Linked DNA regions of Canis lupus familiaris. The protein of the gene in region 2 interacts with the protein of the main gene of each other region in a pairwise test. Links are inferred from orthologs where the notes say so. Each region holds a gene or a part of one and is shown on either strand. Other genes may lie near its edges.

Region 1 (5,656 bases), on a different chromosome or scaffold from region 2:
CCTTTTAATGGGAATTAAATTAAGATCTCAATAATACATGACGACAGTTCTGCTTTCTAGTCTTACATAGAAATTACGCCTCTAGCTCTAAATCCTAGTTATCTCTGACAGAGGAAGTGAACCACTGATCAAGTAATAGAGTTGCTATGTTGTAGGGAGTAGGAGTGGAAAGAAGAGATTGATGGCCAGTTGATGGAATACATACGTAGTAGGCATGAGACTTCTCAGTAAGTCAGACAGGGATGCCAGGCTGGGCAGGAGATCTATTTATTTTAGGAATTATGAGGGAGTTCATAATGGTACTTAATGGAGTTACGTGAACCTGGGACACAGTAAACACTAAATTTCATAGAATCTCATAGCTGGAAGAAATCTTTAATGTCATCTGGTCACATTTCCCAAGAGATGCCTGAAAGCCCTCTGCAGGCTCAATTTTCTAGAACATGTATCTGATTTTAAGCATTTTGTTAAAGAAACCCAGCCTATGCTTTTTAAGTAACCCCCATTTATTATAGATCTCATTATTACTTCATGGCCCTGGGTAAGTCATTGCATTTTTTTAAAAGATTTTATTTATTTATTCATGAGAGACACACACACACACAGAGACAGAGACACAGGCAGAGGGAGAAGCAGGCTCCATGAAGGAAGCCCCATGTGGACTCCATCTTGCCCTGAGCCGAAGGCAATGCTCAACTACTGAGCCACCAAGGCGTCCCAACTCATTTCATTTTTATGGGTCTTTGCTCAAAATTGTGACCTCTCTGGCTATTCATTTCCACATCTATAAATGACAACCCCAGATCTCTCCTGCTTGGCCCTCAAGGTGGAGAACAGACTAAAGAAGATGATACAAGTGGGAATGTCTTGGTAACCGTGAGGTATGGTGCACTTTTAAAAACATAGCAAGTGTTGCTGCAACCTCCCACATTTCCTTCACCAGTGAGTGACATCCCCCATACAGTACAAGAGTAGCAGTGTTCCATCCCTCTCCATTCTACAAAGAGGCTTTTCACCCTTGCCCCTAATTCTCTTTATAGAGTTACCCACAGGTGGGTCCCTACAAGAGCCTTCGTTAGGGGATCCTGTGCTTTTTCAGGAGAAGTGAGGAATGGGCTTGTGTAGGTCACAGTGCCTGGCCTGTCCCTGGGGTGGGGGCGGGGGCAGGGGAGGGCCAGTGTGTGGGAGGGTTTCAGCAGTCTTCTTGCTCCTTCCCACATTCTTGGACTAGCAGGGCTGCCCATCCAGGGGTGCCTCTAAGGAACCCAGCAGTAGCAACCCTCACAGAGGATCCACATAGTCCTCAACTCTCAGTCCCCGTGGAGCCTCATAATGGTATAGACTGTTGTTCACTTGAACAGGCATTTAGTAAATGTTTGTGATGTGTCAGGTCCTATGCTTGCCACTGGGGATAAGAGATGAGTCAGACATGCTGCCTTCCCCTGAGACCTCACAGTTTAGCAGGAGAAACAGACTCATGAGTGTCATACACAGCATGTGTTCTGACCAAAGCCGGAACAGTGGGCATAGCTGATGGATCACTTAAGTCTGTCTGAGGGCCCTGGGTAGACTTCTCAGAGGAGATGAGATTTAAATGGAATCTTAACAGGGGTGTAGAAATTCCGCAAGGGGCAAGAGCGGGGGCATTTCCGACAGGAGGAGCTGCAAGTAGAGAGGTACAGAGCTGCAGGAGGACACCGTGGTTCTGGGCTGGAGTGTGCGCTACATGTCAGAGAGCAGAAAGACTTGAACCGGAAGGGTAGAGACCCCTAAGTGGCTCAGTGGTTGAGCGTCTGCCTTTGGCTCAGGTTGTGATTCCGAGGTCCTAGGACTGAGTCCCGCATCAGGTTCACTGCAGGGAGCCTGCTTCTCCCTCTGCCTATGTCTCTGTCTCTGTCTGTGTCTCTCATGAATAAATAAATAAAATATTAGAAACAACAACAAAGAGAAACCAGAAGGGTAGTGGGGCCCTGAGCAGCAGGCCTTTATGATGTCATGGGAGCCACTGAAGGATTTCAGGGAGGAGAGTGTCATGGTCAGGTAAGGTTCGTAAGAACATTTAGGTGGTGGGGTGGGGGCTGGGTGAGAAAGGAGAGAGAAGATAAATTAACTGAGAATATTGAGGGAAGGGACAGATCCTAGGGAGATTTTAGGAGGCAGAATTGATAGACCTTATTATGAGAAAGTCTAAGAGCTTCTGGCACAGGAAATTAAAAGAGAAAGAAGGCAGAATGGAAATTTAGTGAGGGCCTACAGGTACGATGACAAGATATCTTGCATCAATTTGACTTCAACTTCTTGACTGCCTAGCCAAGATGGCCTACATAATGTTTGTGGACAGGAGGTCAAAAGCTTTTTTGCAAATGGTTTTTCATAGCTGCAGAGGTGGATTCAGCAGATCTGGCTGACTGGGCCAGTATTCTTCCCTCCCTCTCTCCTGCTCCACGTGTCTTAGTCCCAAAACTAATTGCTTTGTCAAGGAGAATGCCTTCCCCAAACAGAAAAAAAGCCACATTTTGGTTAAGGATTGGGCAAATGCCCATGCTAGGATCTCCATGCCAAGTCCCATCTAGATCTATGCATTATCACCAAGAACTGCATAGCTCAGAATGTTCTGCTGCCCAGGGCATACAGTTACAGACCAAGCATGGGGCAAATTCCCAGAAGAATTGATATTTGAGCTGGGTCTTGAAGGAAAGCAAAGGAAAAACAAATGCACTAAAATGATATCTTACCTGGTTTGGCACCTAGAGTGCTCTAGAGATGAGCTGTCCAATAGAACTTTCTGCAATGATGAAAATGGTCTTCTGTACCAACCAATATGGTAGCCACTAGCCACATGTGGCTATCAAACACTTGAAATATGACCAATGCAACTGAGGAACTGAATTTTTAATTTAATTTTTATTACTTTAAATGTAAATTGTCACCTATAGCTAGTGGCTACCGTATTGAACAACACAGCTCTGGAGTGCATTTAGCATGTCCAGATTCTGTTTTACGTGTCCATTCTTTGCTTCACTCTCCTTGTGATCCTCCCCTGTCCCTGTTCTCTCTGCCTAGTCCTTCCAGTTTGATGTACTAACTGGCTATCTCCCAGCTTCCAACACTGGTTCTATTTCCTGGTTATTGATTTCCTCTCTATCTCATCACAACAGAACCCTAGACTATCTTCCATTTTGCTCATGCCTTAGTACCTCCTCAATTTGTCCCGGTGTGTGGACCTAGCTCAAGAAGGATTCAGAGAATCCTGTCCTGTCACATCAGGCTATTCAACAGTCCTTATTCACTCCTTTTCCTTGGTTTCTTTTCCAGGTCACTTTACTTGGCCAGTTAGTGACATGGATTATTTGATGTTTTCCCTCCTTAACAACTTGAGTTAGAGGATTAGACAGTTGAAAGAAAAGAAGAGTACGGAGGAAGGGTTATAACAGGTTGAGTGAATACTTTGAAGTCTCTGATAGCAGGTGAAGGGCTCCATCCTGAGGCCTTTTCTGTCAGTTGCTTTTAATCCTGATATGTGTAAAGATAGCAGTATTGGTAGGTTGATTACATTTTGGACGAAAAGGATAGATTCAGGATAGATTTAAAAAAAAAGGCTCTTGATAGGCCAAAGCATTGGGTCAAATTTAACATGACAAAATGCGATGATAACAAATCCGTGATCCTGTATTTGGATCTAAATGGCTAATTGCCTGTGTACCAATACATGGTTTAGAAAGTTTGGTGGTTTTTGCTGATGATCAATCAGTGGTAGATAACAAGAAAGGTAATATGCTCCAGGAAAGCACTGTAGAATCACATCCAAGAGAGATCTGTGCATTTCCACACCAATCCAACTACACCTGGATCACTGTTTCAGGTTCTGAATGTCTCATTTAGAAAAAAAAAAAAAAAAAAGTGGGGGCAACACTAGCCACAGTGGGAAAAGGACTGGTAACCCATGATATAAGAACTGGGTCCCTGAGCCTTGAGAGAACAGACCATAGGGACAAGGTCACCATCCTTAGTCTCTGCAGGGAAGTTACAGAACAGAAAGCAGATATGCTCTTTGGGCTTCAAAGGGCAGAGCAAAAACAAAAACAAAAACAAAAACAAAAACAAAAACAAAAAACCAACCACTGAAGAGTGAAAATTCAAGCAGACTTCAGCTCAGTGTGAGGAAAATGATTCCAACTGAACGGTGATTTCTGGTGTTTTAACCTGCAGAGGCAGAGTTTGGTAGCGCCCCTGGAGGAACAATGTTAAACATGCCCCAAAGCCAGACTGCTCAAATATTGATTGTCTCTATAGTGATGGATGGCTCATTCAAATGTGTAGGCCCTATACTCGCTGACCCCATTTAGCTTTGCAGGTTCTATATTAAGTGTCAGACTCTTCTCATTCTAGCTCAGCATTCTAATTAAGTAACCTTGGCTCCTTGCATGTGGAAAACAGGTTTTAGGCACAGAACCTCTAGCACCAAGCAGAATGGCAACATAATTTTAGCTCCTGAGCAAAATGGGTCTCACAATAGCGTCAGTGCAGTGTGCACATTAACATTTGAATATGCTGTATAATAAGCATGCTAATTACTCTGAGAAGAATACTTGAAGAAAAAATAAGCTGTTATCATTAGAGGAGAAAGGGGCTAGCAATTTATAGCATGGCTGCTGCTTGATATTCAAAAATACATGACGGCTCTTGTCACAGGTAAAAGGTAATTACTATGATTATAAACTGCAATGAGAGTGGCAGGAAGTGATCAGAATTTTATTGGAAGTAAGTATGTGGTATAATTGTTTGTTTGTTACCACATTCAGATTTATTACTAATAAATATGTGTCCCCATTTGGTTGTTTGATTACTTTGAGCAGTTTAGGTATGAACCTATTATACTATATTACTCACCTCAACTGCAGAAAATTACTGGAAGAATTTACAAAAGAGGTGAGGAGCTGGGAGGGGGAGGTCTCAGGTTTGACATGGGGCACAACCACCTTGTGCTAGAAGAGAAGCTGTAATGGGGACCTCTAACTCCACGCCTTGGATGACCTAGATGGTCATTTCTCAATCCTGTTCTGCAGATCTCTCAGCGATCCTGCTACTCTTTCAGGGGGTCCACAAGGCCAAATTATTTGTATAATAATATTAAGATGATATTTGTCTTATCATGGTATGGAACTACTACATACTATATGATTCAACTTATATGAAATGTCCCATACAGGCAAATCTGTAGAGACAGAACACAGATAAGCGTTGCTAGGGATCAGGGGAGGTCAGAAGGGAGAGCCTAATGGGTACAGGGTTTCTTTTTGGGGTAAGGAAAATGTTCTGGAACTAGGTAGTGGTAGTGGTTATGAATGTCCTAAATGTCACTGAATTGTACACTTTCAAAGAGTTAAGATGAACTTTATGTTATGTGAATTTTACCATAATTTTTAAAGGCAAAAAAGAGAGTGAAGTTTACACATTGTACCATATAAGAGAAATTCTTCCTACCTAGAATTTTGAAGCTTGAGGGTTTTCTAGTTCTGAAAGCTTTCCTCTTTGCAAGGCCTTTCAATAGCTACAGTTCTTTTTTTTTTTTTTTTTTAAGATTTATTTATTTGAGTGGGGGGAGGGGCAGAGAGCGGGGGAGAAAGAATCTTAAGCAGACTCCCTGCTAAGAACA
Region 2 (5,686 bases):
TGACAAATGCACAGGCAATAAAGATACAGAATAGCTCCATGTTCCCTAAAAAACCTGGTTGCTGCTCCTATTAACCCTTCTCCCACCCTTAACACCTGGTAACCACTGATTGGGTTCTCCATCTTCAGTGTTCTGACTTTTCCTGAATTTCACATAAATGGATTAATAACAGAAGTCTTACTTTGGCTTAAATTAGCGAAATTGGAAATGCAAAATGTTCTTAAATTGGCTTATTTTATTTAGCACAGTGTATTTGTGTGATCCATACTGTTGGCATATATTGACAATTTATTCCTTCTTATAGTTGAGTAGTACCTTATTGCATAGATATTCCAGTTTATCCACTCATTAGTTGAAGGACATTTAGGTTGTTTCTAGTTTAGTGCAGTTATAAAGAAATCTGTTATAAATATTTACATGCAGGTTTTTGTGTAAATATAGGTTTTCATTTCTCTTCAGGTAAATATTTAGAAGTAGGATTGATAGATAATATGGCAAGTGTATGCTTCATTTTTTATAAGAAATTGCAGAGTATTGTACCATTCTGCATTTCCACCAGCAATGTATAAGACTTCCTGTTGCTCTGTGTTCTGTCTACACTTGGTATTGTCAGAATTTTGTTGTTAATTGTAGCCATTCTACTAGATGTATAGTAATTTTCATTTTAAAGATGTTATAATTATATACTTATTAATACTTAGGGCACATACAGGAGATTAAGACCTATAGATGGTTAAAAAATAGGGTCAAAACTGATGAAGAGTCCAAACTGATCACCCAAGATCATGCAGAGCTATAAAAGAGAGATGGCCAAGGGAGAAATCTTGAGAACGTTTACCTTCGATTGGGAAAAGGAAAGAGCAAAGGAAACCAAAAGAAATAGGTCAGAGGAATAAGATAATCAGAAGTAAGAGTCCTGAAAGAGAAGGGAATTCAAAAGACAAAGGAGTATTTCATTTGTAGTAGCACTAAAAATAAGTCACTCAATTTATTCATTCATTGATTCATTGAACGAATACAAGTTCCAACAATAAGCTAAATACCACATGAGGCAAAAGATGTGATAATTAGGTCACTGGTAAAGACAGAAAAATTTCATTATAGGTGGAGCTAAAAGTAGAATGGAATAGGCTGAGCACTTCAGAATGATTTAAGAGGTACTCTCTGTCTTTGAACCTATCACATGTATATTCTAGCAATTAAAGTGCATTTATAATTGACGAAAATCCTTCTTTCAAAGGATTTAATGAATGGATTGCAACAATACTGTGGACCTACAAATACTTATCATTAGAAACAGCTCAATCTAACTTTATTAATAATAACAATGTTCAGCATTATTCTCTAAGCATTTCATATATAAAAATTGTTTTATTAATAAGAGTTTAGGCTCTGGGAAGAGAAAAACAGAGATAAGTTCACTGCAGAGCAAACTGGGCTTCAACATTACTTGTTGCATTACGCTCAATAAGTATAAAACATTTTAGCAAAATGAAATGTTCACAGCAATAAGCATCTTAGTATTTATCACCTACAACATTAGGCTTTTCCAGGTCACTGGCCTCTAATTTTTTTTTTAATTTTTTTTTTTATTTATGACAGTCACACAGAGAGAGAGAGAGGCAGAGACACAGGCAGAGGGAGAGGGAGAAGCAGGCTCCATGCACCGGGAGCCCGACGTGGGATTCGATCCCGGGTCTCCAGGATCGCGCCCTGGGCCAAAGGCAGGCGCCAAACCGCTGCGCCACCCAGGGATCCCCTCTAATTGTTTTTGATCACATATCCTCATGTATGCAAAATATATTAGTGCATTCATCCCCACATTTATTTATATACAAGTATTTCTAGGCTAAAATTCCATCCCATTATAAAATTAACAAAAGTTTTTTTAAAAAGGGAATAGTTTTAAAAGGTAAAGAAACAATTTCTAATATCTTCTCCCCACATTTGATTCAATCACCTTGTGCCTCCCCAACCTACACACTCAACACTAGTACTTCTAAGACCATTATTCTAGGTGACCACAATTAAAACCATGAATATACATTTGGGGAATATAAAAAATAGTGAAAGGGAATAAAGAGGAAAGGAGAAAAAAAGAGTGGGAAATATCAGAGAGGGAGACAGAACATGAGAGACTCCTAACTCTGGGAAACGAACGAGGGGTGGTGGAAGGGGAGGTGAGGTGGGGGGGGAGGTGGTGGTGACTGGGTGACCAGCACTGAGGGGGGCACTTGATGGGATGAGCACTGGATGTTATTCTGTATGTTGGCAAATTGAACACCAATAAAAAATAAATTTATAAAAAAAATAAAACCTTGAATATAAATATGTCAACCAAATAAAATCTACTCCCAACAACTCATGAATCATTGGTTTCCTTTTCGGATATAGTACTAACTTCTTACTGAACACCTGCATCCTCACTGCAGTTGCTTTAAACCGGACAAGTCCAAGAAAAGTCATCTCTTAAAGGTGCCTGGCCCAACAGGATTGTTCCCTTTTCTATCTTTGCTATCTCATACAAATTATTTTTTAAAAAGATTTTATTTATTCATGAGAGACACAGAGAGGGAGAAGCAGGCTCCCTGCAGGGAGCCCGATGGGGGTGGGGGGCTGGATCCCAAGGACCCCTGGATCACGCCCTGAGCCCAAGGCGCTCAACCACTGAGCCACCCAGGTGCCCCTCATACAACTGATTTCAAAAAGAAAAAATGACATTCACATACTTCGAGGTTGCACAAAGGATTTCCTTTTATTTTCAGTCATAAGCTTATTTTTTTCCTTCACTTAGCTCTTTGAAAATACTGGCTTGAGGCTGGGAAAGTAACTGGAATTTGAACTTCTTCTATTTATCAACCGAATTTCTCATGCCCCTAAAAAAAAGCCTCCATTCCTACGGGTTTGGGTGCCTAGCAGCAAAAAAAAAAAAAAAAAAAAAAAAAAAAATATTTAACATCGGCACAAGACGGGGAGCCTGCCTGCCGACTAGAGCCCCGACAACCGAACAGGCAGCGAAGACGAGACACAGCTGAACCTTGTTTACCAAGAAAAGTCGCTTCCCTACAGAATAAGAATCACCGAGCGTTGTAATTAAGAGACACCAGGTCAGAGGTCCGTTCTCTTGGGGAGAAAAAAAAAAAAAAATGTTTTAAAAGCCTAAGTGTAAATGCCGATGTCCTAGTCTTTTGAAGCATCACTATACCGTTTCATAGCTTTCGGATCCTTCATCTCCTAGGCACCGCCGAGGAAAACACCTATTAAATTTCCATCTTGGGAGGGGAGGCAGATGACAGGCCATCAGAGAGAAGCATGTAACCCACCCACCCTTGCCGGCGTGGACAGGAGCCCCCCCCCCCCCCCCCCGCCCCGGGGCACCTGCACCTGCACCTGGCGCGCCGCGACCGTGCGGCAAGTAGGCCCCCGGGGCCACCACCCGGGCCGGATTCCGGGCCCCGGGGAACTCGTAACGCGCTGCCTGAGCCACGCAGACGCCGCGTCCCGGGAGCGAGCGACGTCCGACCAGCCCTCGTACCGAGAATCGGGGCCCAGGCCCGGGGCGGCGGCACCGGCTCGGCCCGCAGGGCTCCTCCCGCCTGCGAGGCTCTGCGTTCCCGCACCTTCGCGGCAGCGAACACCGGGTCCGGCGGCCACGCCCCCGCGGTCTCCCCGCGGTACACCGGGGGGCGGGGCGGAACCCCGATACCCGGCAGCACGGCCTGTCCTCGAGCCTCCGCCAGCAAAGGGGCAAGTAACGGTGGCCCCTGGACCCTGTAACTCCCAAAGGGACCTGGCCCGGGGTTCTCACCCAACCTGGCCTGCCCGCCCCCGACTTACCCATTAACGTGGCACTCTAGCCGGCGTCTTAACTGCCCAGTTCCCGGCGGCGGCGTCCGCTGCAGGTAACCGCGGGGCCGCCACTCCGCCCCCAGCGTCGAGCGCAGCGACCAAGCCGGCAGCTCAAGATGGCGGCTCCCGGCGCCCCTTCCCCGAGACCCCGAGGCTCGGCTCCCAGAAGCCCTTGCACGCAAGCGAGCGGCCTAGCTCCACCCCTCAAGGGGCGTGGCCCGCATCTGCCCCGCCCCCCGCCCCGCCTCCCGGGTGTCAGCCGGGAGCGCGCGCGGTGGCAGCCGCGTGTCCTCCCGACCTCGTCCTCCGCGCGAGCTCCCCTCCATTCACACTCAAGCGTGGGTTGCGTTTGCAGATTCAGTCATTCATCCTTCAAGGTGGTGTGGATGGGGAGCCTAAGCGGCGCCGGGCGCTGTCACCGAATAGTAGAGCCGCGCTGGGGGTGCACGACGGAAAATGCAACCTCGTGGGGCTCCACCGGGGAGGCTCGGCGGCTTCAGCTGCATTAACCGCTTCCTGTGCGTCCTGCTCGTTCACGGGTTTCAATTTTGCCGTTTAAACTTCGGATTCTATGACATCTGTGAATTCTGGCAAAAAGTCCCTGACGGATGAATAGTTGCAAATAAGGAATTCTAAATTAGTGTGACACAGAAACTTTGTAATCCAGCCTGGGGTTCAACAGCATTGAAAGAGACTTTTCCAGATGCGATGCTGGGCACGGAATATAGAAGATAAAGAACACATCATTTCTGCCCCTATGAAGATCCTGTTTTCTATCTTGTTCTGTTTGCTGAAAAATTTCTTGGCTTATCTTCCAGCTCTGGATTGAAATAGAGATAGATAGATAGATAAATAGATAGATAGATAGATAGACGATAGATAGATAGATAGAGGTAGGTTGAGATAGATAGATTGAGAGGTAGATAGATTCTGCTATTGTATTATTAAATTCTGCTATTGTATTTTTAATCCCAAGAGCTATTTCCTATTTTTGAATCAGGAATTAAATATCTTTTTTTTTGTCTCTCTGAAGATATTAATTGTGGTTTCCTTAAAGTACTTTTTTCTTTTTCATTCATTGTCTCTGATTCTTCACAGTTTTTTCTTTTCTTTTTAAAGATTTTATTTATTTATTCATGAGAGAGAGAGAGAGAGAGGCGGAGACACAGGCAGAGGGAGAAGCAGGCTCCATGCAGGGAACCCGACGTGGGACTCGATCCCGAGGCTCCAGGATCAGGCCCTGGCCAAAGGCAGCGCTAAGCCGCTGAGCCACCCGGGCTGCCCAGTTCTTCTCCTTTATGATCGTATTGGGTTTCATCTTTCCTGCCACCACCATACACTAATGCTTGGTGATCGTTGAGCATCTATTCATATTTAAGAGTGAGACACTAAAGAAAACTACTGTAAACTTGGTTATCAGACGAGGGTTTACTTGCCCATTATTGGCCTCCCTACAGAGTAATAACATGAGACTTTGGCTGTTTCATTGGAGAACTATCTAAAAGCCTTTATCTGTAGATCTTTTCTCTCAGACCAATGATTTTCCCTGGAGAAGAATCTTTTAATTTCCTGTCTGGAGGGCACATATCAGACATCAGAATGTGATGGGGGTTAAAATGGCCTCATAATTCAGTATTTAGCTTTCACTATTACCCACTTATAGTCTAACACCTTGACACCCCTCTTAGCTGTGCATTTCTGACTTTATAGTCTTTCTGATTCAGTTTCTTCATGAAATCAAACCTGTAGCCTTCTGTCTTAAAAGGAAAGGTAACTTGGCACCCTGGTTATGGAGGAAATCCGGAAGTGGGGTTCTAACTGCTCCTTATTCAGACTT

The links.
Region 1: the proteins of KPNA5 (region 2) and ANP32B interact in binary tests that used the Homo sapiens proteins (3 or more experiments, as listed by UniProt). The two-hybrid records come from large-scale screens. The link is inferred for Canis lupus familiaris from reciprocal best matches to the Homo sapiens genes KPNA5 and ANP32B.

The regions. Positions count from the first base shown.
Region 1 is NC_049232.1:55,563,322-55,568,977, forward strand, and holds the start of ANP32B (acidic leucine-rich nuclear phosphoprotein 32 family member B), read left to right. Parts: upstream 1-1,980; 5' UTR 1,981-1,995; coding exon 1,996-2,040; intron 2,041-5,656. UniProt on the Homo sapiens protein: Multifunctional protein that is involved in the regulation of many processes including cell proliferation, apoptosis, cell cycle progression or transcription.
Region 2 is NC_049222.1:57,663,654-57,669,339, reverse strand, and holds the start of KPNA5 (importin subunit alpha-6), read right to left. Parts: upstream 4,029-5,686; 5' UTR 3,842-4,028; coding exon 3,838-3,841; intron 3,230-3,837; exon of another isoform or gene 3,206-3,229; intron 1-3,205. UniProt on the Homo sapiens protein: Functions in nuclear protein import as an adapter protein for nuclear receptor KPNB1. Binds specifically and directly to substrates containing either a simple or bipartite NLS motif.